4 linked regions of the Diceros bicornis minor genome follow. The protein of the gene in region 1 interacts with the protein of each later gene in a biochemical or structural test. Links are inferred from orthologs where the notes say so. Each region holds a gene or a part of one and is shown in the gene's direction. Other genes may lie near its edges.

Region 1 (7,182 bases):
TTAGTTTTGCCTGTTTTCAAACTATATATAAATGGAATCATACTGCATTATTCTTTTGCATTTTTTTCATGCAAAGTATTTCCGAGATTCTTTCATGCTGTGTAGCCAAATCCACTTATTTTCTTACTGTATCATATTACTATATATGAACATACTCCTATTTGTTTAACCGTTTTGCTATAATGGACACTTGGGTAGTTTCCAAATTTTTGCTATTACAAGTAGTGCTGCTATAAACATTCTTATACCTGCATCTTGCACATGTGCAAGAGTTATTTTAGGGCATATATCAAAGAACAGAATTGCCAGGTCATAGGTCATGGGCATTTTCAACTCCACTAGATAACAATAATTTTTTTTCCGAAGTTATTTCACATTCTTGAACCACACTTGATTTGATCAGATTTTCTCAATTTTGCCAATCTGGTGAGTGTGAAATGGTATCTCACTGAGGTTTTAATTTGCATTTTCCCTGATAACTAGTGAGGTTAAGCATCTTTTCAGGTTTACTGACCGCTCTGGTTCCGTTCCTCTTTAGCATCTGTGCAAGGGTTTTTTTCCATCTTTCTTTTGTCTTTATCATATTAATTTCTCAGCCTTTTTCGTATGTATGGTATTTAGAGTTGAGATCACATCACACATCTACTTTTGTATACTTTTATTTTTGTATAAGCGTTTCCTCATTGTCTAAATCTCAGCAAACATGTTTTTAAATAGTGTTTTCTAATTTAAAAAAATACAATCATGTTCGGATAATACAGAAAAGTATAAAAAATAAAATAAAATCATCCATAATTTGACTACTCAGCAATAACCACATTTTTGCATTCTGGTATAATTCCTTCTATATTTTGCATGTAATGTACGTTTTTTATAAATTAGAATAATTCTCAGTAAACCTATTTTTTTTTTTACAAAGTATTATGTTTTGAGCATTTTTCCATGTCATTAAATATTCCTCAATTACAATTTTAATGTGTGAATTTAACCCATTTAACCATCACCCTATTTATTGAAATTCTCAGTTTTAATTTTTCTTTCCTGTGTTATAAATAATCTTGCATAAACATCTCTGTGGATAAATCTTTGGCTGTATTTCACTTCTTTTCTTAAATTAGATTCCAATCAAAGATCATTTCTCAATGATCTTTCCAGAGCTGTTTTTAAGGCTCTTGATAAATATTATAAAGTTCCTTTCCCAAAAGACTCTATCCCTCTTTCCAAAATATAAACCTCTCCATGTCCTTTCTGTTCAAAAAGCCTGGTAGGCTCCTCCGGTACCTATTTAGTGTCCTGCGCAGTCGAATACACACATACATTCAGTCTCCTCCACCACATTCTACTCTCAGCCATCCCACTTTATTTCTAGGACACACCATGGGCTCTTGCATTAAACCTCCGTGGCTTTGCTCAGGTGGTGCCTTCCACCTAAAATGCCCCTTACCTCCTTTCTCTCCCAGGCAAAATCCTATTCTCCCTTTAAGGGCCAGTTCAATAAAAACCATGTTTCTGGGCAGAGTTGATCTGCCCTCTGCTGGGCTCCCAAAGCACATCATAGACTTCCATAAGGATAATTTTCACATTGAAATAATTGTGACACCACAGGTTTTAAAAGTGGAAATCAGATCATGTCCTGCCCAGTTTAAAACCCTTCCATGGAATATAATAGAAAGTTCAGAAATTGACCCAAATACCGTTGGGAACGTAGATTATGACAATGGAGACATTTCAAATGAGTTGGGAAAAGATGATAATATTGAGATAACTAGGTAGTTATTTGGAAAAATTTTTTGGATTCCTGTCTCAGACCTTAAAACAAAGTAAATTTATGATGGAACAAGGATTAAAATGTAAAATATGCAACCATGTAAAAACTAGAAGAAAACAGAGAATTATTTGTATAATATCAAACTGGAGAGGGTCTTCCTAAGAATGGCATAGAACCCGGAAGCCACAAAGGAAAAGACTGATACATTAGAATACATACAAAATAAAAGTTTTTCCATGGTAATAAATAATAAACTGGAAAAATATTTACAACCTCCATATAGAAAAAAAGGATCAAATTTTCTATAAATCAATGAGTAAAAAGTTCAACAGAAAGCCCAACTGAAAAAAGGGCAAATGAAATGAACAGAGAATTCATTAGAACAAGACTCCTCCCCCAAAAGACTCACAAATATGAAAAATTAGTCAACTTCACTCTTAATAAAAATAAAAATAAAAAATGAAAGTGTCTCCGTTTTTATCTATCTGATTGGCAAAAATAAAAAGCTTTGATAACACTGTATAGTTCAGGATGTGAGGAAATAGGCACTCTCATATTTTATTTGTGGGAGAACAAACTGGTACAACTCCTATATAGAGCACTTTGCCAATATCCATTAAAACGCAACGAAAACATTCTTGTTTATTGGTGATTCCACTTCCAGGGATTTACCCAACAGATAAACTGCCACATGCAAAATAAGGAATGGACAAGTTATAACTTTATTCGTAATAGGAAAGGACTGGAAACTACCTAAGTATTTCCAAATAGGGGATTGGGCAAGGAAATTATGACATGTCTTTACAAAGTTGTGCATTAATTTAAAAAATTGAGGCAGACCCAAAATACAGAGCTCATGGAAAAAGCAAGATGTGAAGTGTTTATAGCAAGCTACCATTTGTGTGAAACATTTATACACATAAATTTGCTTGTGAACACAGCAACCATCTCTGAAAGACTACAGAAGGAAGGGGTTAAGAGTGATGACCTCGGCCAGGCCCCGTGGCTTAGCGGTTAAGTGCACACGCTCAGCTACTGGTGGCCCAGGTTCGGATCCCGGCGCGCACCGAAGCACCGCTTCTCCGCCCATGCTGAGGCCGCGTCCCACATACAGCAACTAGAAGGATATGCAACTATGACATACAACTATCTACTGGAGCTTTGGGGGAAAAAAAAAGGAGGAGGATTGGCAATAGATGTTAGCTCAGAGCCGGTCTTCCTCAGCAAAAAGAGGAGGATTCGCATGGATGTTAGCTCAGGGCTGATCTTCCTCACAAAAAAAAAAAAAAAAAGAGTGATGACCTCTGTGAGGGGAACAGGGGACTGGAAAGCAGGGGTGGGAAGAGGACTTTTTCATCCTATGCTCTTTGGTATATTTTTAATATTTGGTGTTCCTGTATACGTACCTATTTTTAATCAATTACATTAACATAAAATAAAACACCTTTCAGTGTTTAGAATCAAGCGCAACTCACTTCCATGGTCAGCTTTCCAACTTCCTCTCACACCGTATTTGCCCTCCCTCACTACCTTCCAGTCACATTGCTTCTGGAACATGCCAAGACCTTCCTGCCTCAGGACATTTTGCACAAGCTGTTCCCTCTGCCTCTGTTGGTGTTCTCTAGGCTCTTCCCATGAGTTGGCATTTTCTTATATTTCAAGTCTTGTGTTCCATGTCATCTCTTCAAAGATGCCATCCTTGGCTACCCTGCAAAACAATTGTTGAAAAAATGCCTCCCTCCCTCACTGGGCACGGAAGGCTGGGCTTACTTCCCTGAGCCTCAGTCTAAAGCAGCACCTCTCCCTTCACCCTCTTTACAACAATGCCCTGATTTATTTTCTTCATAGCACTAGTCACTATTTGAAATTACCTCGTTTGTGTAGTTTCTTAGTTGTTTACTGTCTCTCTCCATCTCAAGGGTTTAAATCTCAATGAAAGCAGGGACTATGGCTTGTCTTGTTCCTAAATCTACCTTCAGCAACCCAAACAATAAACATTTGTTGAGTGAATTTATGCAGCACATCCTATGGACGGTGCACTCTTCTATGGACTTTACAAATAACTCTTTTAATCCTCACAACAACGCAATGAGGGAGGTTGTTTTTTACCCATTTTAGAATTAAGGAAATTGAGGCACACAGCAGTTGAGTGACTTGCCCAACTGGCAGAGTTGGAATCCCAGACGCAAGCTTGTTAGCTACAACGCGATGCTTTTTCGATCTATAAACTGACGGATGGATGAAATTGACTGAATGGAAACGTGAACGTAAACGTGGATTTTTTTTTGCGTCTCGGGATTCCCCAGCTCTACAGCAAGGGGGCGCTCTCTCCCAGGTCTTGACGCCAGTCCTCAAGGCGCGCACTCCCTGTGCGTCTCGGGCTCGCGCGCGCTACCGCGGCACCGGAAGTGACTGAGCTTGCAAGTTCCCCCGGTCTCTTCAGGGGAAACTGAGGCCGGCTCGTTCGGAAGAGACAGCGCGAGCCGTCAGCCAGGTAGGCCGGCCCGGGTCCGCGGCGCGGAACTCGGCCGCGAAGAACCCTCCCGTCTGGAAACGACTTGGCCGATGAAGGGGGGATGTGGCCCCCCACGGCTGGCGGGGCGCGCAGGTGAGAGCGCCGCCTCCCCTACGCGTGGCAGGCGCTGCGCCCAATGAGAGCCCTCGCCGTTCCGCTTCCGTGCCGTCTGGGCTCGCTGATTGGCTACGCTGGGGCGGGCCGCCGGGGGCGAGACCCCTCCTCCCAGAAAGGTCTAGGGGGCGCCCCTGAGGGAGAGCGGTTGCCTAGCAACGGGGCGGTGGCCCGGCGGGTACCCGGCCCAGCGCGCGCGCGAAGCCGCGAGGCCGCAGCCCACCCACCGCGGCCGCCGGAGAGGTGCTGCCCCCGGCCCCCAAGCCCTCCTGGGGGCGGCACGAATCTGCCTTGGGCCTTCTCCCAGGAAAACGTGGTCTTAGCCGTGGGGGGCCTCGAGCAGGCCTCGACCCCTCTCCCTGACCCGAGGAGAGGCCCGGCGCCTCGCCCTCAGCCGGTCTTTGTGCAGGGTGCCGGCGGCCATTGTGTCCGTGCCGGGAATGGAGGACCCGGCAATCCTCCATTGCCACCGCCACGTCCAGGGCCTTTGGGGAATTCAAAGAAAACCGGCGGCGTTTCTGGGAGGTCCCCGGCCTTCAGCCTCCCAGAAAGGCCTGGGGATGGCCTTTCCGAAGTCACACCGCAGATCCGAGGCAGTTTCCCCCTCCCTCCGTCCCTCATCGAAACCTTGAGCCCCATTGAGAAGTCCCTTCAGGGTTTCGGAAGCCTCACCCTGGGCTGGTACTTAAATAGGAAAGAAAAAAAAAAAAACAAAAACAAACCCTAAACCCCACACCAGCCACCTCCGGGAGAGTTCTCCTGGCTCCCAGTAGGAGGCGGAGAGCCAAGGGGCGTGCAAGAGCGAGGGGGCTGGGCTCCCGGGTGGCAGGAGGCCGCGGCTGCGAGCGGCCGCCCTCGATCTGGGCGATGGAGGAGGAAGCAGGCGAGGGGGCCGGTTCCTGAGCTTCGTAATTCCTGTGTCGCCTTCTGGGCTCCCAGCCTGCCGGGTCGCATGATCCTTTCAGCCCGAGCTGGTTTTTTTGCCAGCCGCCGCGAGGCCGGCTGAGTTACCGGCATCCCGGCTGCCACCTCCTCTCCCGACCTGTGATACAAAAGATCTTCCGGGGGCTGCACCTGCCTGCCGTCGCTTGAGAGGGATTTGAATGTAGGTGGTGCGGAGGCGGGGGTAGGGGCCCGACTGCCCAGGGGGGTGATTTTCCGAGGAAGGCATTTCGGAGAAAAAGGGGTGGCTGGCGTAAAAAAGGCCGGTGTGATGATTCAGAGCCCACTGGTGCTTTCAGTTTGACTTCATTGAAGTCTCCTGGAAGCTAGACCAGACCTTCAGAAGAGCCACAAAGAAACCAGTTCTGGTACCTGGAGGGGGAATGGGATGTTTGTAGGGTAAATGGCATGCATATTAATTTTTTTTTCCTGAAGCTCTTTCTCTCCCTTCAGAACCTTATCTTGGCTTTGGATCTCAGAAGAGAAGCACCAAGCAGAGACCAGACTCTGTGAGTGAGCAGGTGTTTTGGACAATGGACTGGTCGAGCCCATCCCTATTATAAAAATGTCTCAGAGCAACCGGGAGCTGGTGGTTGACTTTCTCTCCTACAAGCTTTCCCAGAAAGGATACAGCTGGAGTCAGTTCAGTGATGTGGAAGAGAACAGAACTGAGGCCCCAGAAGGGACTGAATCAGAGATGGAGACCCCCAGTGCCATCAATGGCAACCCATCCTGGCACCTGGCGGACAGCTCCGCGGGGAATGGAGCCACTGGCCACAGCAGCAGTTTGGATGCCCGGGAGGTGATCCCCATGGCAGCGGTGAAGCAAGCGCTGAGGGAGGCGGGCGATGAGTTTGAACTGAGGTACCGGCGGGCATTCAGCGACCTGACATCCCAGCTCCACATCACCCCAGGGACAGCGTATCAGAGCTTTGAGCAGGTGGTGAATGAACTCTTCCGGGATGGGGTGAACTGGGGTCGCATTGTGGCCTTTTTCTCCTTCGGTGGGGCACTGTGCGTGGAAAGCGTAGACAAGGAGATGCAGGTATTGGTGAGTCGGATCGCAACTTGGATGGCCACTTACCTGAATGACCACCTAGAGCCTTGGATCCAGGAAAACGGCGGCTGGGTAAGGACCACGCCCCTTGTGTGTCCCTTTTCCTTGGCCTTTGGTCAGAGAGATCCCCAACAGCCTCTCCCCTCTATCTCTTTATGTTGTGCTGGGTGATTGTTGGAGATGTTTTTTGTCAAGGAGATGTGAGTAGCCTCATTGCACCACAAGAGGTTAACTGTTCTGAAATACAGATGACCCAGATCTTGAAGGACCAGGCATCTTTCATTCTAGTCACCCTCATGACCCCACTCTTTCATACTTGTGTTCCAGTTTCTCAGAAGAGCAAAAGACAGCCTGTGTGTTCATTTGGCCCAAAACCTTTGAGAGTGGGAAGTTAGTCCACTGTTTCCCTCCCCCTAATATAAAGGCTTGCCACGCAAAGGGGGGATGAGTACAATGCCTGGAGAAGATAGTATCAGTGACCCACAAGCTCCTCCATTCTTACTCCCCCGGGATGTCAGTCCTGTCCTGGGCTTCCCTCCCCCAAATCAAGTTCCCTTTTTTTCAGGGTTTGCATACATGGTACTCTCCTCTCAGAACAGGGCATGGCCAGGCAGGAGTTCCCCCTGGCTTGGATGGCTGAGGATGGTCTGATTTTAGGGCAATGTAAGCTGTGCCAGTGGGGCAGTTGTGTTTGTGCTGCTCGCCTATGGTCATTTGCTCTGAAGTGTGCAACTTTCTGCATGGTTGGCCTGTTTGCGGAGCTCTTGCTGTGTCACGCATTAGGCC
Region 2 (7,324 bases), on another chromosome or scaffold:
CCCCAGTCTTCCTCTTTTAAAGACCCTTGTGGGGGCCGGCCCCGTGGCTTAGTGGTTAAGTGAGCGCACTCCGCTGCTGGTGGCCCGGGTTTGGATCCTGGGCGCGCACCGACGCACCGCTTGTCAGGCCATGCTGAGGCCGCGTCCCACATAAAATGGAGGAAGATAGGTACAGATGTTAGCCCAGGGCCTGTCTTCCTCAGCAAAAACAGGAGCATTGGCATGGACGTTAGCTCAGGGCTGATCTTCCTCACAAAAAAAAGTAAATAAATAAAGACCCTTGTGATCACATTGGGCCCACCTGGATGATCCAGGCTACTGGCTCCATCTCAAGATTCTTAACATAATCACATCTGATAAGGTCCTTTTGACATGTAAGGTAACATCTTTATAGGACTGGGTGGTTAGGACGTGGCTGTCTTTGGGAGGTCATTATTCTGTCTACCATAGTTTGCCTCTATAGTATTTAATGGTGTGGTTGCAGTAACACTGATACATGATTGCCTTCAGTTAGCGTTGTAGCAGAAGTAGTCCCCACAGGAAGTCTTTGTGACCTTCTCTCCCCAAGGCTATGAAAGCTCCACAGAGAGGATGTGCTTCCATTTTCTCAAGCTGGAGACCAGGCTGCATTCCACACTGGGCTGCTGTGTGCCTTCCTGAAGCTAGCGTTCCCCATACTCAGGATTATTGCCTTAGCATAGGTCCCAGGAGCAGGTTTATGATTCTTACTACACATTGCCTAATTGCTTTCCAGATTGTATCAGTTTATACAACCTCTCCTGATCGTTTGGCTTTCATAAAAAAAAAAAGTTCTCTTTATAGTAAAGATATATTCTCATTAAAGGACATATGGGAAATCCAGAAAGAGCAAAAGGAAAAAAATCACTCATAGTTCCATAAATTGAAACACAACTTTCACTAATACTTTCTTTCCAATATTTCTGTGTGGATGTATATAAAATTAAAAAAAAACATGGATATGATATTGGAACTTCTTGGAACTATTTTAGATCTAGGACACTTCATGCTTTTGGATATGCAGGAGAAAAATTTTTATTGTGTTTATCTTGGGATGGTTTCCATTCTGTTTTCCTGGTTGACTTTTGTTCTCCACGTCACCCAGAACCTGGAGGCCTGGCCAGGTCCTTCCCTGTGTGATGAGTGTCAGCGCACAATGTGGGGACTATGGCCTGGGATTCTTGATCACGAATCCTCAATCCTGACTCCTCTTAACCAGACTCTAGTCTAGAAATTGGTTAGAAAGGTTAGGTTTTATGACAATTCAGCTTTATAATCCAATTCATAGATGCTGGTTACAAGCAGAATGTTTTTCACTTTAAAAATTAATTTATGTAAATTACATCTTCCATTTCTACTTTCATAGACCTCATCTTCAGGTTCTGATTATTTGGCAAAGACAGTAAAGAGGTACAGGGACCTCTGGCCCTGAAAAGAGAAGGGTGGGAAGTGTTTCAACATAGGTTCTTAGGAAGGTGATTGGCTGCTTTCCATCTTGCTAAATATCTATAGTAGAAGCCCTATGGCTGTAAGTTAGATATAAGAAGGAACTTCCCTAAATGAAATATTCTTACACTGGTCACCCACTCCAATACTAAAAATAAAAGAAAAATCTCAGTTTTCCTGGATGTTGTACATTGTTCTGCTTGAAGAGAGGAGGTGAACTGAGTAAGGACCTGGAAGGAAACCTAATCAGAACTGGACAAAGTAAAAAGTGAATTTTTCAGCACAGACAGCTGCAAAGCACAGGGAGTTGCCTGAGGCATGGCTAGATCCCAGAGCATGATGTCCCTAGGACCTAATCTCTGTCTCTCTTTTGGGGGCTGGCTTCATTTTCAGGAAAGCGGTTAGGTGTTTCAATAGCCCCAGGATTTCTGACTGGGTCTCATTGGCCCATCCCTGTAGCCAGGGGAGTGCAATGCTCTGATTGGTCAGGCCAAGCCACAGGGCCACCCCAAGAATGGCCCTGGAGTCAGGGATGGAGACAGTTCCATCAAAGCTTGTGGACTGAGAGGAGGAGGAGAAGAGTCATTCCCCCAAAGAAAAACTATTAGACCTGACATGGGTTTCTTAGGTCAAATTTGCAAGAGGACCTGATTGGCTGGTCTTGGGCCAGTGTCCACCCCAGGCCAATCAGCTGTGGCAGACAGAGTGGCCGTTTGGCTGGGGGTGGGGTTGGTAAGCCTGGTATGACAAGCTGCCTTTGCTCAGCTCTTGCCTTAGGGTTGTGGTGCTGAGGGGTCAACACTAGGGCCTGAGGGCTTCCATGTCCCACCGGATTTCTTCACTGTTTTCTGAGTGCTTACTTGTTAAGTGTCCCATTTTAAACTCACAACAGCCCTCTGAAGTTGAAGCTGTTAGGCCTGTTGCCCAGGGTAACACAGCCAGTAAGTGACTCAAGGGGGCTGAGGTGATGAATCTGAAAGCAGCATCTAGGGGAGCCCCAGAAGGGACTCAGAGCAGGTGGGGCATGGGGAACTCTCCCCAGGTGGAGGGTCCTGAAAGGGGGGGTGGCAGGAAGGTGTGGAGGGGAGGGAGCACCTCAGACATTTGGTCTAAGTGCCACTTGGTTCTCACTGACCCAGGGCGCAGCATCTGATTCTAGCTTGTATGAGGTTTCTGGAGCCCCATCTTCCCGCAGAGCCACCTGGTCCTGCCCTGCCTCCCTGAGGTCCTGTCCTCCAAACTCTGCCTCACTGCACTCATGGGTGACGCAGTGGCTTTCCCTGCCTGACCCTCTCCTGGAGTGGGCTGGGGCCTTTGTGTGCAGCGTGAGGACCACCAGGTTGGGAAGCCTGGAGTCCCCAGTCAGCCATAGAACAGCTCAGGGGCCTGGGGAGAGTTCTAGCTTCGGTCCTCCACTCTCCAGGACCTCAAGGGATTTAGGGGCTCCTCCTCACATTTTCAGTCAGATCTGAGCCCCCAAAGGGCCCAGAGCACTCTGCCCGCACTGCCTGAATAAGCTCCCTTCTTCTCAGCACCCCGCCCCCACTGAAACACCAGTTGCCACTTTCCCATTTAAGCTGCCGCCTCTTTCCAGCAGTCTGTCTTGATTGCCTCTTCGCTCGCCCCACTTGCCTACTGCTTTAATTTGTGCCGCCGCTGGTTGTGAGCCAGTGTCCTGGCGCCTCCTCCACGGGGTCTTAGCCGCCTCAAGCCTTGGAGAACGTTTGTTGGCCGAAGGCGAAGGATGTGCAGAATCTTCATCCAGCCACGAATTTATTAATTCTCGAAGTCGGCTTGGAGTGGGCCTCACGCGCGATGCCAGAGACACCCAGTGAAGGAGACCACCCGTTTAGGCCTAGCAGGGAGACTCCACACGCTTTAACCCAGCTCCGCGGGAGGCAGGCCCTCGGCCGGTGGGAACCTGCGTTACCTCGGCCCGCCGGGAGACCCAGCAGAGGACGTTGTTGCAAAACGCAATTTACTTTTTTTACTTCTCAAAAACTCCGAAAATGGCTGCTAGTAGCTTCGCTACGGGGCAAACTGTCTGCTAATCTGGAATGCAAACTCGGCGCACAGGGAGGTTTTCCTGGTGCTTCGCCCCCGGCCATCGCGGGGCTCTGCAAGCCGCGCGCGGCGTGAAGAAGGATCGGAGGCTCCGGAAACACTGTGTCGGGAACCAGGAGCCAGGAGCCGAGGAGCAACAGTCGTGGCCGCCGCTCTGCATCCGCGCCGCCTCGGGCGCCCCGGCCCCGAGCCGGGCCTGGGACTGCCCCACGGGCTCGGAGCCCGATTTGACAGCCCGCGCGGGCTTTGCTGGGGGACTCGGGGATCACCTCGTCCACCCAGGCTTAGGCCCTGGGCCAGCGCCACCCGCCACATAAACTCCCCCAGCAGGGGAGGGTTGTTTTCCAGCCCCGAGGCCGAGCAGGAGGCCCAGGACCCCGCGTGTCTTCTCTGAGCGCAGGGGACCCCGGGCCACCGCTCAGCTAACCGAAAGAGGCCCCCTCCTCGCCGAAGGCTTCAACCGGGCGGGATTTCCAGCAAAGGCCGGACACGCGTGTCCCTGCGCACGCACACATCGTGCGCACGTCAGCCCCCGTCGCCCCGTGCCCGGGCGCACGCAGGCACTCCCGGGCCCCCGCACACGCCCGTGGGCACACGCGTCCGCTGCGGGCACTAAGGAGCCCGGGGAGGTAAGAGCGCAGTTCCGGAGCAGGAAGCGGCCCGGGGCCCGGCCTGGGCGGTGTCCCGGGCGGGCCCTGGGGGTGGAGCTTGCCGGGCCGGGCGCGCTGGGTCGGGGCGGGTCCGCGCCGCCGCCGTCCGCGCCGCCCCGCCCTCGGCCCCGCCGCTCTCTCGGCTCCTCGCGCTGCAGCCCCCGCCGTAGCCGCCGCCGAGCCCGCCGCCGCCTCCTCCAAGGTAGGCGCAGGAGACGGGCCCGGGCTTTGCCTGCGTCCCAGGCCGCAGGCCGGGCTCCTGGGGAGCTGAGGGGGAGGAGATGAGGGAGGAGCGGGCGAGGGCGAGGGGCCCCGGGCCGGGCCCGAGGGGGGAGCGGGAGCGGCTCACGCGGGCTGCTTGGTCAGCGGAGGGCCGAGCAGGCCGCGCGGGCGGGCGGGCGGGCGGGCGGCGAGCGGGCCCGGGCGGGAGAGCGGGAGGACGGACATCCGGAGGCGCCTGGGGCTGGGGGCCAGAGCCCGCGGGGACCTGCGGGCGGAAGGGCACGGGCCGCCGCGTGGAGGCCGGGCCGGCTGCAGATCTAGGTGACCTTCCCCGGCGGTGCCCTCAGGCCCTCGGTCCCGCCAGCGCCGGTCAGGCAGGGACTTTCCCGCTACCCACGCTCGCCCGGCCGGGCCTGGCCCTCGGACCTGTGCGGGCCACACCGTCCCGGTGGGGATGAGCTCATGTGACCACCGTGGCCCTGCGCCCCCAGCCGCGCACGTCCTGTCCGGCCTGCCCGGTCCACGCCCGGAGAAGCTGGCGCCCGGCACTGTCCGCGCGTGCCAGCGCCTTCCGGGGCGGAACGGCAGGCCGAGAGCCGACTTAGGCCGCAGGGGCCTGGGCTGGGGCCTGGGCAAGAGGTTAGGCCTTGGCGAAGGGGGCCCCTCTGGGAGCGCCTTGGCCTCCTTGGCCTTTGGAAGTATTCCCAGTTTGATCGTTCATTCATTTACTAAATGTGGTGGTGCGCTCATGAAACTGGTCCAGAGCCCTCTGGATTTGAGGCCGCAGCCCTAGTGACTGTCCAAGGTCACGCAGCTGGGAAGATACTAAACCTCAGTTTTCTCATCTGTAGAGCGGGAGCAATTATACCTCTTCCTCACTGGGTTTTAGGAAAAATAAAATGACTTGATTAACGCGAAGCTTTTAGAACAGTGCCTGGCAAGGAGCAGGCCTCTGTAGAAACCTTGGCATGCACCCTTGAGGCTTTGGGGAGGGTCTAGCCCATCCCCTGCACACCGTTTTGCTCCACGTGGTGTTCTGGAAAGAGTTCAGTAAACGTAGCCCTGTTATTTTAAACATTATTATTAAGCATTTGTGTGCCAGGCGTTGAGTAACTTGCAGATAATTCGTGAAAAATCCTTTAAGTTCACAGACAGACAAGGTCAGGCTGGAGCAGGAGGTTGAGTGTGAGTGCAGACCTGGGCTAGGCCTGGGCCTGTACCACCTGAGGCCCGCATCCCCTTGACCAGCTTCCCCTCTCCAGAGAAGAGAAGGAAGTGGGCTCCTCCTTTGCCTAATATGCTGTTGACAAGGCCGGGGCCGACTGCCGAGGGCCTGCCTCCTTTCTCTCCACCCAGCTCTGGACTGACCCTCTGGACAGGGTCAGGCTTAAGCCCTCTGCAGCTTTGTTTTCAGTGCCTGGGGTAGAGCCACCTGGCCCACAGTAGGTACTTAAAGGGTCTTTGGGGGTAAATGCACTCTTGCTTTTTGTCCAAGAGTCGACTCTTATTGACAGAAAGGTAGTTTTACCATTCCAGCATGTGGCTTATAGTAGGTGCCCATTAAGTGTTTGTGAATGATTGGATGGGCATGTGAAGTGGCGGCAGGCCTGGGCCATGGTCCCTTCATCCTGGACATCCTTCTTGAGGGACACACGCATCTCACTCACTTCCAGAAAATAATAGCCTTACGTAGCGGAGAATCCCAAATATTTAAGAGCTGCAATGGTATGTGCAGCCCTAGAGCAGTGAGAGGCAAACTGTTTCCTAATTTGAAATAACTGCTTTAAACACATTATCTTCATTCTGTGGCTTTCCAAGTCCTGTGGGGAACTTGTTGAACTGGTGTTTCTGGGCTTGCAGGGGAGGTGACATGGGCGAATGGGATTCTCTTAAAGGCCTTGGGCCTGGCGCCTCTTCCGTCTCTGATGGTGGGTGGGTTGATGGCTTCTGCTGGAGTTGTCCTGAGCAGGTTTACAGGAGGACTGTAAATGGGGATGGGGACGGGGGACTGCTCTCAGTTGGTTACTTAGTTTTATTCCTGCTGTTCTATAGGCTATAGGCAGGGGCTATTTGTAGACACAAACCCAGGGGCTCAGGGGGACCATATGGTGAGGAATTGCCTGTGGGCCTCTGGTCCTGCTGGACATTATGCAGATGTGGACCACGACCTCCAAGCTGGTGGTAATGAGGGCCCTTCACCCCCACCTTTACTGGTTAGATACTCCTGAGGCACTGAAGTCCACTTTACCCTGGATGGACTTTCTCACTGTGTGATGTCCTTGGTGGTCGTGACTGAGAGAGGCGTGTGTGGGGCTGAGAGCCAGCCCAAGCCTGCAGGCTGCCCCTCAGGGTGCCTAGAGGGCCTGTAGCCTTGGGCTCCCCACACACTCCTCTGGTAGTCCCTGAAGAAAGGTGACCAGTGGGATCCTCAGCGGGGCCTGGGCACAATCCTCCATTTCACTGCTTGCTCTCAGGGGGGTGGGGGTGAGTGGGCACTTACACCCTTTACCCAGAACTGTGCTGGAAAGAGTCCTGGAGAGCAGATGGAGCTTGCAACACAGCTCTGACATGAGCCGTAGGGTCTAGTACAGGTCACGTTGCTTTCTTGTTCCTCAGTTTCTCCACTATAGAGGTGTGATTGTCATCATGACAGTCATTCTTTATTGAGGGCCTGCTCAGCACACTCCTGGGGGCTTGACGTGTTGTGTGACATTGAATCCACCTTCCTACAAGCCTGGGGAGAGGGGTGCTATTGTTTCCATTTCAGGGGTTAGGAGGCTTGAGCACGGAGGGGTGAGGTAAGCACCCCAAGGTCACACAGCTCAGTGGGAGTGGAATTGGGATTCAGGGCTGGGTCTGGCTAGCTCCAGTGCTGGTGCTTTCACACTGCAGCTGCCACTCCACGGGGCCATGGCAAGGAGCTA
Region 3 (7,367 bases), on another chromosome or scaffold:
GGGAGCAAAACTGTCCCTAGCTGAGAACCACTGGGCTAGAGTAAATAGCTAGAAATGGAACCACCAGGTCATAGAGCACACGCATTTTCAATTTTTCCAGATCTGCCAAATTGTTTTCTAGCATTTATCCTCATTTACCCTCTCAGTATAATTTCAAGTCTAGTGATTCGCTTGTGTAGACTAAGCTCGGTTGCCTTCAATAAAGTGATTATTGCTGGAGCAAAGGACGCTATGTCTGAATTTTCACAGCAGGGGTGCGTGTTTAACCAACCCCATCTCTTGTGACTCCAGTAATCACGGCATTAGGTTTTATTTAAGTGAGGTTTACCCTTCTCGCTTCAAGTATTGATGAGACTATAATTATGGGCTGGTTAATTTTTTCTCTCCTGCTGCGGACATTTGTCTGCTGTTCCCTCTTTACTTGCAACAAAAAGGTCCTTAAGAGAGAAGTATCTAATGAATAATTTGGAGATCCCTGGAGGAGTTAGCCCCTCTTTTCAGGTATCAGAGGGTTAAATAGGATACATGTGAGAGAGGAGAGCTGTCCTGCTCCCGGTTTATTGAATGGAGGGGGCTTTCCCGGGAATAAATGTGATGTAATTGAATATTGGACTCACTGAAATCTGAATCCTCTTCTTCTCCCAGTGGGTTTGGGTCAGGGTCCCAGTTCTGTTGCTTAAGTGGATACTTAATAATCCTGATATATCAACAAGCACTATAACTAACATTTACTGAGTGCCAGGCACTTTGCTAAACACTTGATACATTCTCTCTGAATCCCCACAACAATCCAATGAGGAACTATGATTATTACTTCCATTTTGCAGATAGGAAAATGGAGGCTCACAGAAGTGAAAAATATTCCCAAGGTACCTAGCTATTGCACGGCAGGGCTAGGGTTCAAACCTAAGTCTCTCTGGCTTGGAGTATCAAACCATTCTGCTATCACACTGACTACGATTCGAGAACTCTGTTGTTCCCCAAACTGACTCCTGGCATCGACTCTGGCCCTGGCATTGATACATGGCTTCAGGAAACACAGCTGTTTGGAGGAGGTCACAGCTGTTCATTCATTTACCACTCCACCAAGCCACACGAATTAAAACAACATAAGGTAAGGCTCACTCAGTCTCAAACACCAGGGTAGGTAATTATTGTTTTAATTAAAGAAAAGAAAGACCCCTCCCATTCCCGCTCAAAACACTCGAGTATTGATTTTGGTAGGAGGTATGGGAATGATTTGGGGCAAGAATTTTTTTATGTTATTAATGATAACAGTTCTATGTACATCACAGTGCATGTCTGAAAGACAGAAAGACAAATCAGGATGCTTACCATTCATTCATTCATTCATTCATTGAATCTTTCTTTCAACAAACATTTATCTGCTATGAGCACCTGCTATGTGCTAAGCCCAGTTTTAAGTACTGGGATTCCATAGGGAACTTGCATGGACTAGAAAAATCTGTCTTATCTCTTCACTCTATGAGAGAGAGGCTGCGCATCCTTGCAACTGGTAGGGAAAGTTTTCTCTGAATAAAGGTATCAATTGGATTTCATGAACTATTTCTCAAAATCATCCCCTAAAACTCCTCCTCCCTTAAAAGCCTCCCACGGGACATGGAGGAGAAAGAAGGGGAACACAGGAGAAGTCCTGGAACTCAGCCCTCTTCAAGAACCCAGAAAAACGCCCAAGAACACACCCGGCAGTAAAAGCGGCCATAGTCTGGTGACTATCTGCTTCTAACTTCCCTTCTAGGACATTCTGCCCCTCACATTGCCTCTGTATTCATTTGCTAGGGCTGCCACAGCAAAGTGCCACACACTGGGGGGCTCAAACAACAGAAAGTTATTTGCTTACAGTTCTGGTGGCCAGAAATCTGAGATCAAGGGGTTGGCAGGGTTGGTTTCTCCTGAGGCCTCTCTCCTTGGTGTGAAGATGGCCATCTTCTCGAGCCCCTGGTGCCTCTCCCTCTTCCTATAAGGACATCAGTCATACTGGATGAGGACCCCAATCAAATGACCTCATTTTAACTTAATTACCCCTTTAAAGACCTTGTCTCCAAAAACAGTCACATTCTGAGGTACTGGGGCTTAGGACTTCCACGTAGGAATTTGGGGGGAGGGAGAGGGCCACAAGTCAGCCTATAACAGCCTCCCTCTCACTTCCCAAGTCCCCAGTGGTGACATAATGCTAAAGAGCACAAGCTCTGGGGGCCAGACAGTTGTGTGACCTTGGATACACTAAACACTCTGCTTCAGTTTGCTCATCCATAATACAGGACCAATAACAGTACCTGCCCTATTACATAACATTGTTAGGAGGGTTAAATGAGTTAATATGTCTAAGGCACTTAGAACAGTGCCTGGCACAGAGTAAGCACTATATAAGTGTTTATCAAATTAAATAGTAAAATCAAAAACTCATTTTAACTAAAGTGTTACGAGAGCATTATGTTACTCTCCCACAGAATTTGCTTTTTCTGGACAATACTTAACATGAGTGACAGAATCGCCAATTCACAATAGGGGAACCATATATATTTGAGGGTGCAGGCCCTCCAACATTCTTCGAAGCACACTGCTTAGCGACTCTATGACCTACTTTAAAATGTTAACAATAGCCAACATTTATTAAATGCTAAGAATGTGCTGGACACCACGTTGAGTGCTTTATAGGAATGATCTTATTTAACTCTGTGAGATAGGGGCTATTATCCCCATTTTACAGTTGAGGAAATGGAGGCTCCAAAAAGCCTCATCTCAAGGCGAAGTTCCCCAGCTGGTAAATAGGGGGACAGGGCAGAACAACTCCAGTGTGAGCAAATGAGCGACTATCAACTGCAGAGTCGGGGAGCGAGAGGTTTTCTCTTTCCCCCTACTTTTCCATCACCCCCTTCTCTTCTCCCTCTGCTGAATGACACGTCCCCACGGCCAAGGCTGCACTCTCTCTGCTACAGAAAACATCCAAGCGGCTGGGACCGGACCCAGCGCCACCTTGCGAGTCCAGCATTTTGAGGGGCAGGCTTCCAAACAGGGTAATAATCGTCCCATTAAAATTAATGTCCATGAAGTGAGCCGTTAAAAGCGTGCAGATTAAAAAGGGGGGGGAGGGAATTGTTCAATTTAAATCCAAGGGGCTTTTTAAATAGACACTGTATCTTCATTCTTGGAACGCTCCACTGGGCAATGGATCAGCTCCCCTCTGCAAAGACTAGGGGGGATTAAGGAGGTGAGTCCCAGGAGAATGGGGAAGTGGTTCTGGCCAGAAGCAAAGGGAACCAAGGTTTATCCAGGGCCCACTGCATGCCAGGTGCCTGGCATACATTTTTCTCATTTAATCTCTGCCCCAATCCTGGGAGGGAGGTATTATTATTCCCAGATTACAGGGGGCAGTATAAAACCGTGGTTAAGAGTTTAGAGCCTGCGGCAGACTGCCCTAGTTTAAATACAGGTTCATTCTGCACTAACTCTGTGAGCTTGAGCAAGAGGCCTTACCTCCCTGTGCCTCAGTTTCCCCATCTGTAATGTAGGATAGTAATAACACCCTCTCCTCCTCTAGAATTGTTGCGAGATTTACTCTAGGCAGCTAGGCAGAGACCTTAGCCCAGTAACCCACAAAGAAGGCTAAGTAAGGGAAGTGTTGATCATGGTTAAAGGTAGGAGAACCGGGGCTGGCAAGGGCCCCTGAGATCACACAGCAGAGCTGGGATCTGAGCCGTGAACATGCTGCAGGCCGGGGGAATCTCTCCTCGTAATAAATCCAGATCCAAACGAAGTTCATGGTCTTGAATCTTTTCCAAGTGACCAGAGGACTCATTAGGCCTCAGCAACACTCTGCCCTGGGTTGGAGAGAATCAAAGCTTCCTCATCAGGTCCCAGACCACCACCTTGAGCCACCTCCGGGCTCCTCCGGTCTTCTGACTCCCAAACTGATCTGAATCCCAATGGATTTAAGATCGGAGATGGTCATTCTCTCCCAAAGAATCCTGAAAGCCGCTCGCCCATCTGTACCTTCACTAGCAGGGACAACTCCAGACCTTCTAGTCTGAAGGAACATAGGCGCAGCCTTTGGATTGCACAGAGAAAAGGGCTCAAGTCCCCAGCGTCCCTCCCGCCACCGACCCCTTAGGGTATCCACCGCGCATTAAATCGGGATCGCCGCTAGAAACTATAACCCTGGCAGGAAAATAATATTCACAAAGGAAGGAGACAAAAATAAGTTTCCCTCTAGAAAGCCCCTTGGGAGGGTCTTTTGGGTGCGAGTGCGGCGCGCAGCGAATGCGTGCCTCCGCGCCCCGCCGGGGCTAAGGACCGACCCCTCTAACCCCTCACCGGGCCTCCAGCAAGGTTTCTAGCCGCGCTGGGGGCGCGATAGGGTCTGGCTCCAAAGCCCAGAGCCGGGTGGGGGCGTGTGTCCGGTGTGTTCAAATCCGAAGCCTACAGGTGCCTAGTCAGACCTGAAAGTAGGCAAGTTGGGTTGACACTGGCCCTCTCGTAAGATTTTGGATCAACCCACCTCCCCAAAACGAAACAATAGCCTCGGAATATTTTTGAATACAGCCGAATTCGATACCAGCTTCATCCAAAACGGCAAACGATCCTGCTTCCGTCGCCAAATCGGAACTGGAGCTGAATTCAGGAAAAAGAGGACGAGGAAACATTCGCTGGCGCTCCACGCCTCTGCGGGGGTCCCCCGCGACCCCCCAAGCCCGGGACCTCGGCGGCGGGGTGCCTGCTCGCGTCCAGCGCGCCGCGCTGCCCCTCCCCCAAACCGCGCGCCCCCTCGCTATCGGCGCTGCAAGGGTTAAAAGTTACCTCTCGGTTTCTTCTGCCTGCAGCCCCCCCCCCCGGGGCCGGATGATGTAACCCCCCTCCTCGAGCCCTCCCCGCCCCCCTCCACCATGTGACACTTTAATTAATAATAGCGCCGTCAGCACAACAAACGCACAACACAAGGAGAAACTTGGTGTCCAGGGGAGGCCCCCGGCGGCTGGAGCGCGGCGGAGGCAGGCGCAGAGGCCGGAGGAAGAGGAGGCGAGGGGCGGCCCGAGCGCGGGGAGGGAGCGAGTGGAGCGGTCATGTGCCCGTGCCCCCTGCACCGCGGCCGCGGCCCCCCGGCCGTGTGTGCCTGCAGCGCGGGCCGCCTGGGTCTGCGCTCGTCCGCCGCGCAGCTCACGGCCGCCCGGCTCAAGGCGCTCGGCGACGAGCTGCACCAGCGCACCATGTGGCGGCGCCGCGCGCGGAGCCGGAGGGTGCCGGCGCCCGGCGCGCTCCCCACCTACTGGCCCTGGCTGTGCGCGGCCGCGCAGGTGGCGGCGCTGGCGGCCTGGCTACTCGGCAGGCGGAACTTGTAGGAACGCGGGGCTTCTTGGTGGGGCCGGAGCCGAGACCCAGCCGGAGCGAGCAACAGGTACGCGAGCGAGCGAGCGCGCGCCAGGGCGCGGTAGCTGGGGACTGGAGACGCTGGGCCGGCCTGGGAGCGGGAGCGCGGCAAGTTTGGCTTTCTTCTCTTCCCATCTCCTTCTTCCTCTGCTCCCTTCTCTCGCAAGGATCTCCGTCCCCCTCCTATCCAGTTCCCTTCTCTCCTTCCGAGTGTCAGGTCCACTGTTTCTGTCCCCTTCTCTCGGAATGCTTAAGCGCATCTTGCCACTCCCTCCAGTGGGGTGGCTTTGGGAAGACTTTCGCCTCCATAATCCCCACCAGCCCCGCAAGTAAACACACAATACAAGTTAAAAAGGGTTCTTTCTATGAGAACGTAGTTACAAGCCACGCAAATAATTATAATCTATCGCCGTTTCTAGACAAGTCCCCCGTCCTCTTCCAAGCCTCCTGCTGGTCCTAAGTCGCCGCCATCTCCATCACCTCCGCTCCAAACCCTCTTCTTCCTAAGTGTCACTTCACTTTCTGTTCCCCAGTCTCTGGGTCCCCGAGTGCATCTCGCGACTTCCTCTCCCTCCAGGTTCCTAGCTGGCTGTTGTTCTCCCAAGGCCCGCGCACTTGGCAGTTTTCCTCCGCTTTGCCAACTTTTTCACTCCTTCTCCAGCGAGGTGTCCCGTTTAAGGAGCTTGGGTTCCTCTTCACCAGACGGTTGGGACTGAGATGAAGAAGGAGATGCCCCCGAAGTGGGCTGGGATCTGAGGCTCTTAGGGAAGCTCCAAGGGGAAGCCTTAATGAAAGAGCATTTATTGAGCGCCTTCTGGATGCTAGGCCCTGTTTAAGGATGGAATGTTTGAGAGCTTGCGGTATGCTAGGCACTGCGCGGTGGTGGGGGTGGGGAGTGAGTATGGAGCTCCTAAGTGTGTTTGGTACCAGTGGGAGAAAGGTATTGAGCATCTACTGTGCACTAGGCCCTTGGGGTTGGGGAATTATTGAGCACCAGCCGTGTGCCTGGCACTGCGCTAGGCGCTTTGGGCGAGCAAACGTATAAGGATCATCTTTTCAGATTCTGGAATAGAGAGGAGAGCTACAGAGAATGGGGGTGGAGAGACTCAGGCTGAGCCCACCATAGGTGAGTCTGGGGCCGAAGGTGAGGGTCGAAGGTGAAAAAGCCAGCCACCTTGGGATGCCACGGGTCCACGGATGCCGCGCGCTCGGGTCCGGCGGAGCGCCCCGGTGCGCCGACACCCTGGGAAGCTGGCGCGGCGCCCGCAGGCGAGACCCGAGCGTCTGTGCCCGCGGGGAGAGGCGGCAGCCGGAGCGTGGGGGGTGGCAGCGCCGGGGGAGCTGCGGGGGTGCGCGGGGTGTGAGCCGGGAGCGCGGGCGACAGATGTCGCGTGGGCCGGCGCAGCCCGGGCGCCGGCGAGGAGAGGTGCGCGCTTCGGGGAGCTCTCCAGCCGGCTCCCGGAGGTCCCATCCGCTTTTCCCCCTCCAGAAAGAGAGGCCCGGGGCTGCCCTCAGCCGGGAAGGGGCCAGGCTGGGGCTGCCGATTCCCAGGCACAGGAACGACGTTTTAAACGGGACGCAGGCGGCAGAAAAAGGGAGTCGAGGGAGAGACGCGAAGCCCAAAGCGTGGAATTTAGGGAAAGGCGGAAAGAAGGTGGGAGGAGAGGGAAAGGAAAAGCGGGCGGCGAGACAGGGAAAGAAAGGAGGATGAGGCAGCTGGAGAAAAAGAGAGACTGCCTGGAGAACAAGTTGCAAGACAGTGGGAAAGTGAATCAGAGGAAAGATGGGAAGCGAGAGGAATCCAGTAGAATTGGAGAGCGGGGCTAGGACACGTCTTCCTCTAGTCTTGGGTCCATGTGAGACTGGGAGAGCGCTCCCTTCCCAGGATAGGGCGGTGCGGGATGCTGAGCGCCCCACCCAGGAGGCGGAGAACGCCCGGCCAGGGCCTGGCTGTGTGTGCGCGTCGGGTCTGGGGGTGCGGG
Region 4 (8,018 bases), on another chromosome or scaffold:
GGCTCAGCCTCTCTGGGAAGGCTGTTTACCCTCAGTTCTCTAGTTGCAGCTCTTCCCGCCACACCCTCCTCCCGTCCCCAGTTTCTCTTTGAGCTTGGGTATAGGTGTGCATATGAAGGTTCATGTTTGGGAAGAAAGGGTGTGGATATGCTCAAGGATCCCCCCAGGGATTGTATCTGCACCTCCAGCCCTTGGTATGGAGCCTAGCACACGGCAGGTGCTCAGGATGACCTCACACCTGGGTGACTGAGCCCCTCCCTCATTGCCAGAGAGTGACCCCCTCCCACTCCAGGACAGTGGGGGTTAAGGATGTGGCTGGAAAACAGCTGATCCAACTCACCTTCTCAGAGGAGCACAGATTCAAAACCTGGGAGACTCTATGCCCAGAAGGGACCAGTCCCCAGTTCTTCCAGGTGGCAGTTTTCCTTGATAGCAATTGATCATTCTCCGGCCTCACCTGGAAATTTCTGAGATTTCCTTACTAATGCCAAAGAGAAGTATGTATTGATGTACTAATGTACCTTTGCCCAGGAAAGAGGCCGCATCCTGGGGAAAGTGGAGTAAAAGGAAGAGTATTTTGATTGGATTTCTTCATTCCTTGGCAGAATACAGCCAACTTCTCTTCCAAGGGCTGGGCATGCTGAGCTCTGGGTTGGGCAGGAGGTGGGGGAGAGAGATGCTGAGGACACTGCCCTAAGGACCATGCTTGTAGTTTTTCTGTAAATCTATGTCCACAAACTTAGAGAGTTCCATCATGTGCCAAGCCTGAAGAAGAGGGGTGGTCTGAGGGTACCAAAGGGTTGACACATCACCTTTGCCTTTGAGGGGGAGGCCCTGCTGGTGAGAAGAAACTCAGGCAAGGCCAGCTATCCCTAGCAGCAAACACAACGTAGACAGGACGTTTCTGGAAAATCCTCCCCTGCAGCTTTTTTCCCACTCGCCAACCAGAACTATTCATATTTTTAAAATGTGGAAATGTACACTTATTCAGTCATTCAGCAAATATTTATTGAGTGTTCCCCCAAACAAAACCGAATATGTGCTGAATGTCATAATTCGTGGGATCCTGGACCACACCTTATCTTTCAGGTTGCACTGGGCTTTACCATGGTAGCCTCAGTCTCTGCATTTCCCTATGCACGCAGGTCTCTGAATTCCCAAATGTTTTCTCTTCAGTACCTGCTTTTTCTGAGTCCCACTGAACCAGTGATTGGCAAGTAGTGAATTCATCGACTGGGAAATCAAGTCTCTCCACTTGCTTACCCAATTAGCAGAAGCCCATCTGTCTGTTCTGGTATATTTTCTCTCTCTCCCCCCTCTCTCTGTGTCTCTCTCTCTGTGTGTGTGTGTCTCTCTCTCTCTCTCTCTCACACACACACACACACACACACACACATTCTGTAACACAGAAGACAGGGACTATTCCTTTGCAGACAGATGGAATAATGCATGGAGAGATAAATTCACTCTGTTAGAGCAAGTCCAGTGAGGGAAGGATACCAAGCCTTCCAGGTTCCTGGTCTTTCTTATGTACACAATCCCTCCTGGAGGGATTTAAGAGGCAAGGGGCTCCCCTACCAAGACCCCCACCTTACCCATAAATCAGTTTCCAATCTAACCCCTCCCTGGGGGTTGAGTTACAAACCTCAGTAACCCCGGGGCAGCCTGCCTGGTAATTCCTATTATTCAGCTGTCAGCTGGTTTTTTAAAAACCTCCCTTCCCAGTGATCCAGTTACCGGAGTTTCAGAGCCCGTTCCTTGTCTCAGGGAGAAATCCTATAGCCAGGTGAAACAATGGAGAGGGCTCCTGCTTTCTAGAGGGAGCTTGGGTTTTCTCTTCTGTTGAAAGCAGCCTCCCCTTAACTCTTTGCATCCCTCCCAGATTGCAGGGCAAGGTCTGCAGGCCTCTTTCAGGCTCCCACACTCATGCCTTTCAGAGCAACTTTCCTTTCTCTGGGCAAAGTTTTGCCTCCTTCTAGAGCCAGCACCAGCCAGCAGAGGAGAAAACAAATTGGGGCAAGGGGTGGGAAGAGAAAGAAAGAAGAGATTCTCCAAAATAAAGGTTGCTGCGGCTGCAATGTGCTCCGAGCCCAGTCAAAAGCCCAGGGTTCATCTGTTCGTAGGGTGCTGCTGTTGGTCGGAGGCTCCAAACCCCAATCTCCAGCCCAGGGGGTCCTGACACTGCTGAGTCTGCCCTGTGCCAGAAGGAGAGAAAGGGCCCAGAGGGAGGAGTCTGCTTTGACAGCGATGAGAGGTGGAGAGTGAGGCTCCTGACCTCCCTGACCCCTTTATCCCTGACAGTCTCTTCTGGTCCCTCCAGCTCAGAAGGCTGGGCCCTGCTGCTTGACCTTAGAGGCTGAGAGCGCAGGAGGCCAAGCCACCGGTGTCCTTCAGAACCAGCCTGAGGGAGCAGGCTGGGAAGGCCTGGGAGAGAGGTCTTAGAAGAAACGTCACTAGAGGGTGTGACCCTTCCCCCATCTTGCAAACTGGCCAGACCCACTAAGATGATCCCCTCTGCTCCCCCGCCCCATTCCTCTAACTGATGACTTTTAACCCTTTATAGGGAAAACTGTTGCAAGCTATGGAGCTACCCCCCGCCAAACAAATGTTTGTGTGAACCCACAAAAAATTTAGCCAGTTTCAGGGGTTCACAGACCCTAAAGCTGAGGAGACCCTGGTGAGTCTGGTGAATACGTGGATCCCAGGTAAAAATCTTGCTCTACCACCTTCCTTGCCTTGTGGACCCAATTCCACCCTGCAGGGCTGTGATGAAGCAGACAGGGCTTTAGCAGCTCCGGTGGGTCAGCAGAATTAGGATGACCCCTGTCCCCTGGGGCCTGTGCTGCCCCACAGGACAGATTCAGAGCTGCTTTGCCCATCAGTTCTACTCTTGATCCTAATGATGCTCATAGGCCCCACGGGCCAGCCTGAGACACCGGCAGAGGAGGAAAGCCAATAAGAAGAGACGGATGGGGCCGGCCCTGTGGCATAGCAGTTAAGTGCGTGTGCTCTGCTGCTAGCAAAAAGAGGAGGATTGGCATGGATGTTAGCTCAGGGCTGATCTTCCTCACAAAAAAAAAGAAAAGAAGAAGAGAAGGATGGAAGGAAGGAGGGGAAGGAGGTCTGTGCGTGGTGAACATGGTGAAGGCTCCTCTGTGCCCTACACAGAGGCTGGGCTTAGTCTCCTTATCTCCCCATGTATGGCATGAGTGCAAGGTCACCCCAACCAGCTCTGACACTCCCTCTTGGCCAAGCCTCCCGGTAAAATAATATACTTCCTTTTGGCTTTGGCAGCTCTTTCTAGACATCCATCGACTCCTGGGGGGACTCGGCTGCTGGCGACCCTTGACTCTCCCTTCTTTCCCTTTTCCCTCTTCTCCATCCTTTGGGGACAGTATTTTCTTATTTGAGCAACCACAGTCCTCAATATGCCTGGTTCACTCTCCTTCAGGCACCTTTTGCAAGAGCTATGGAAAGAATGGGTAGGGAAAAGGTTCAAGGAGACTTCAGGCTCCTCTGGGCTAAGGGTCCCAGCTCCCTTAGCTTAAATCTGAGTTTATGACCCAGAGACAGCAGCTTGGTGGTCAGAGCACTGCCAGTCCCCACATCTGCTCGGGAGTCAGGGCCCATCAACGCTCACCTAGTCTGTTGCAGGCACTGGCTCCCTCTCACTGATTTCTGGCATTTTTATTTATCTTTCCTAAAATTCAGGCTTGGTCAAGTCACTCCTCTTCTATAAAATCTTTGTTCCTCTTTGCCTCCAGAATAAAGTACAGATTGCCCAGCCTGGCATCCCAGAGACACCTCTGTTTCTGACCTGACCCTACCTGTCCATGCCCACCCTCCCTGAATCCTGGTGTGCACCTGATGATCCCGTCCCCCAGCCTGCCCCTGCTACCAGGACAGGTTTTCCAGTTTAACAGTTTAATCTTCTACCCCCAGGCCTGGACTGTTTTATCTGGTTTTCCTTCTTGAAAAATTTCCCCATCCTTCAAGTCCCAACTCAAAAGCCATCTCCCAGTGTTTGCATTCTGAATTTTTCTGCGTCTCCCAGCAGTTATTATCCCTGGAATTAACACATTTTGTGCTGCTTTCCATCAATTTCAGTCTACCTCTCCAAGCAGACTGTCAGCTCCCTGAGTGCAGGCACCAGGTTTCTGGCACCTAGCCCAGTACCTGACACAATGTGGGCGTTCAATAAATGTTTGTGAAACAGCCCTTGATAGTACGCAATCGGCAGGACACGTTGCTCTCCTGGCAGCACCAGCACCATCTCTGGATGCTGCCATAAACAGGATGCGTGTCAACCGCCCAAGTAGCCCCTGCATTCTTGATCTCGCCTCTCCTCAGCTAGACGCTTCTTTTCTGAGCGTCCAAGCCCAGTCAAGAAGAGGATATGAGGGTCCCTTTGGACGTGTTTGATCTGAATGTCACTCACTAACAGCGCCAGATACACGTGTTCTCACGCTTCCTACAGCTTTGGGGCTGGAGTTCTCTTCTGACCCGCTCGGCAGGCGGGAGGGTGTTTTGCCACCAGGTCGGAATCCACAGGGACACGCACCTTGCATCCACTGGATGCCGCCAGCCTCGTCTAAAAGGCTCGCCGCCTCCTCTTCCCCTCCCTTTCTGGACGCGCGTAATTATTCAGTCTATTCCCGAGAAAGACAAGACAAAAGTCTCTTTGGCGCCCCCTCTCTCCATCCTAATAGAGAGGACTCAGGGACTCTCCAGCGCTTGCCGAGCCTGCGTTAGGAATCTGCGCGGGCGACGGCGCTCCAATTGCGTTTCTGGAGGGGGTAGGAATTTTGCTCGGCCCCTTGCAATGTTTCCAAAGGAAGGTTCGTACATTCGTGACCGTCCCTGGCAGCCGCCCAGCCCGGGACTTGGGGCTCCACTTGCCATTGGCCAGCCGTCGGCGTGACGCGCCGGAGGCGGGGCCTCATCAGCTGTTTGCGGGATGCCCCGAGCGGGCGTATTTTGGAAACAATACCGCGCGGTACAGAGTGGCCTCCTCCCGCGCCGGCCCGCCCGCTGCCGCCGGCGCCCCGGTCCGCGCCTCCCGCCTTCTGCCGCAGCCGGGTGAGCGCCCGGGCGGCAGAGGGCCGGGCGGAGTTGGATCGCACCTCCTCGGGGAAGTGGGGAGAAGAGTCGCGCTGCGTCTGGGGGCCCGGGAAGGGTTGGGCTGCGGGCTTCTGGGGTGACCATGAAGGACTGGGGCGCTGGGGTGCGGGAATGGGGTGCAGAACCCACATCTGGGTGCGTTGTTCCACGAGGGAACTTGGGGGTTCTAGCATTTGAGACTCCGAGGCGTTGGGTCCAGGTGGGCAGGGTAACCTGCGGTGCACTGTTGAGCAGACCTGGGCGCCCAAGAACGGCCCGGCCTCTGGGTCTGCCTTTGGGGTAGGGCAGGGAGTTGTGGGCTGTGCTGCCTCCCTGCAGAGTCTGAAGGCGCCTCTCCTTAACAGCTGGGCTTTTTCCCTCCTTCCCAATTGAGTCTGGGCGCCAAGCCCCCAAGTGCTCGTCACGCTGGACCCTGGCGCGGAGCCCTGGCATCACGACTCGGAGGCCGAGACTCTCTCCTGGAGTCACCCAGGTCTGCTGTGTGTTGTGTGAGTGCGTGTGTATGTGTGCGTTCCCAGATTTTAGTCGCTGCCAAGGTTCAGAGTGTCTGGCTACTGCCTTCTCCTGGGAGGAGGAGTCGAAGTTCAGCATCCCTGTTAGAGCCCTCAGGGGCTGGGAAGGCTCCAGCGGGCTTTAGTTCCCCTTGCTAGGAATAAAGCCTTCCCTGGCAGTGTTCTTAGGAAGTGCCCTTCTCCCACCAGTTTTGATATCAGCTTTTCAGCTCAGGGGAAGGAGGGGGAGAGGGTCTCTTGACTGTATCCCAGCTTACACTTGACCTTGCCCAGCACCCCTCCGGAGGCACCCACCTACAGAAGAGCCACCTGCAGTTCCTGTGGAGAGTGGGAAGGGTCCCCTGGGCTTGCAGAGCCACACCCTCTGGCTGCACCTCCCCCACCGTCCAGCCAAACAAGGGTTGAACTTTGGGGCTTTGCTGGGAGGGGGAGGGGGAGGTGACGGGCTTCAAAGGAAAAACCAAGACAATGACTCCTGCTTGTGATTGGCTTTGGAGGGCCCCTTCTTAGGTTGGGATTGCCAGCTTACAGAGAGGAGGTTGAAGGGCAGGAGGGGAGCCCCTGCCAGTTGACTGGCAGGACAGCACTTGGTCCTTTCAGTGGGAAACTTTGTTTCCTGGTGCTGATAAACTGGAGTTCTCCCACCCACCTTTGGGAAACACTATCCAAAGAACACCGTGTGCCTGTTTTGCCATCCAAGTGGGCATCTCCTCACTCTCCAGGGAAGAGGGCAGAGATAGGACCATCGATAGCTCAGGGACTGGATGGGATGGAGGGAGGGTTGAAGCAAGTAGAGAAATGGCATTTGGGAAAGGCAGGATTTCTGAATTTAACGGAGATTGGTTTAAGTACTTTACCAACCCACAGACCATTTGGCTTGTTCTTCAAAGGCAAGAGACTGGGAGACAGAATTCCCAGGGCATCTCTAATTGAATCTGGCAGTGACAAAACATTGCCTCTCTATATCCTTAACCACTCGTTGCTGCTTCTGGCTGCCCCAGGGGCCCTAAGGGGTTCCTGGTGTGTGTGTAGGGGGCTGGGTTGGGAGCTCAAGTTGCTGGGTAGTTCCAAGCTCAGACTTCCAAGACCATCAGGTGGAGCAAGAGGAACTTCTTTATCACCAAGAAACTCGTATCAACAACCTAATAGTCTATGCTGGGAGTGAGGTCACAGAGAGAGGGCTGAATTTCACTTCCTTCTGTGAGTCAGGTTGTACCAATCTCAGGTTGGGCGCTGGCAGGAATGGTAGGCTGTGGGGAAAGATTTGAAGTCTGGAGACTCGTGAGTAGACTGAGCTGGGGGAGGCTGACTACTTTGCTGGACCTGCCCTTGAGTCCAGGCTGTGGTGGGCAGACAGCTCTACTCTGCTGAGAGGGTGGCTGCAATGACGAACTTAGGTCTTTTTCCCCTGTCTCTCCAAGGACACACTCTTACCACACCTCCAGCCTGTTTGTTGTCTTGAGCAAGCAGGAGGTGGAGACGAGAGTAGATGAGCAGCTGGGCGGGGCTTAGCAGGTTTGGAGGGAACCTGGCTGCTCTAGGATTGCTGGCTTTTGTTTTTGCTGCTGAGCCTGGAGCTCAGCTCAGACCGAGATGAGAGCTTGGTGGTTACTGCTCAGGGCAGTGTGTGTGTGTGTGTGTGTGTGTGTTGTGAGCACTGTGTGTACAGCCAGTCACAGCACCCTTCTGCCCTCCCACAGTCACTCACAGAGGCTTGTCTTGTCCACATTTCCCCAGCTACCCTTCGTATCTGTAGCAGCTGATCCTGCCCCTGCTGTTGCTCAGTCAATAGCAGCCAAACTTCATGACTGGGACTGGTCTGGGACAGAAGAAGAGGCTGAGGGGAGGGTTGGCTCTGGGTGGGCGCAGGGAAGAGGTATGGAGAGTCCCTGAACAGTGAGGCAGTCCACATCTGGGGGCGGGTGTCACTCTTGGCAGTGCTTGTCTGTCATCAGTACCTGGCCCCACTTCCCAAGATAAGAAAGGAGAGCAGGAAAGAAGGAAAAGGAGGGGATTCCTTCCAGGTCTGGTGTGAGTGGAGGCAGCATGCCCGATGCCTGCATTGTGCCCTGACAGGGGACATGGAGCCGCCTCAGTGTGTAGAGGAGCTGGAGGATGATGTGTTCCAGCCAGAGGATGGGGAGCCGGGGACCCAGCCCAGGAGCTTGCTCTCTGCTGACCTGTTTGCCCAGAGCCAGCTGGACTGCCCCCTCAGCCGTCTGCAGATCTTCCCTCTCACCCACTGCTGTGGCCCCGGGCTTCGACCCACCAGCCAGGAAGACAAGGCCACCCAGACCCTCAGTCCCGCCTCCCCGAGCCAGGGTGTCATGCTGCCTTGTGGGGTGACTGAGGAACCCCAGCGACTCTTTTATGGTGAGTGCTCTT

The links.
Region 2: the proteins of BCL2L1 (region 1) and VDAC1 form a complex in vitro, tested with the Homo sapiens proteins (4 studies listed by BioGRID). The link is inferred for Diceros bicornis minor from reciprocal best matches to the Homo sapiens genes BCL2L1 and VDAC1.
Region 3: the proteins of BCL2L1 (region 1) and HRK interact in a biophysical measurement, tested with the Homo sapiens proteins (3 studies listed by BioGRID and IntAct, with this or other methods). The link is inferred for Diceros bicornis minor from reciprocal best matches to the Homo sapiens genes BCL2L1 and HRK.
Region 4: the proteins of BCL2L1 (region 1) and BMF interact in a test that uses a peptide from one of them, tested with the Homo sapiens proteins (2 studies listed by BioGRID). The link is inferred for Diceros bicornis minor from reciprocal best matches to the Homo sapiens genes BCL2L1 and BMF.

What each region holds. Positions count from the first base shown.
Region 1 is NC_080758.1:27,765,795-27,772,976, forward strand, and holds the start of BCL2L1 (bcl-2-like protein 1), read left to right. Parts: upstream 1-4,180; 5' UTR 4,181-4,262; intron 4,263-4,273; exon of another isoform or gene 4,274-4,376; intron 4,377-4,660; exon of another isoform or gene 4,661-5,502; intron 5,503-5,595; exon of another isoform or gene 5,596-5,707; intron 5,708-5,774; exon of another isoform or gene 5,775-5,792; 5' UTR 5,793-5,904; coding exon 5,905-6,468; intron 6,469-7,182. UniProt on the Homo sapiens protein: Potent inhibitor of cell death. Inhibits activation of caspases. Appears to regulate cell death by blocking the voltage-dependent anion channel (VDAC) by binding to it and preventing the release of the caspase activator, CYC1, from the mitochondrial membrane.
Region 2 is NC_080740.1:53,195,609-53,202,932, reverse strand, and holds the start of VDAC1 (voltage-dependent anion-selective channel protein 1), read left to right. Parts: upstream 1-4,306; 5' UTR 4,307-4,380; intron 4,381-7,324. UniProt on the Homo sapiens protein: Non-selective voltage-gated ion channel that mediates the transport of anions and cations through the mitochondrion outer membrane and plasma membrane.
Region 3 is NC_080774.1:14,130,032-14,137,398, reverse strand, and holds the start of HRK (activator of apoptosis harakiri), read left to right. Parts: upstream 1-4,954; 5' UTR 4,955-5,081; coding exon 5,082-5,357; 3' UTR 5,358-5,413; intron 5,414-7,367. UniProt on the Homo sapiens protein: Promotes apoptosis.
Region 4 is NC_080744.1:38,022,411-38,030,428, reverse strand, and holds the start of BMF (bcl-2-modifying factor), read left to right. Parts: upstream 1-5,005; 5' UTR 5,006-5,079; intron 5,080-5,086; exon of another isoform or gene 5,087-5,465; 5' UTR 5,466-5,593; intron 5,594-7,709; 5' UTR 7,710-7,714; coding exon 7,715-8,006; intron 8,007-8,018. UniProt on the Homo sapiens protein: May play a role in apoptosis. Isoform 1 seems to be the main initiator.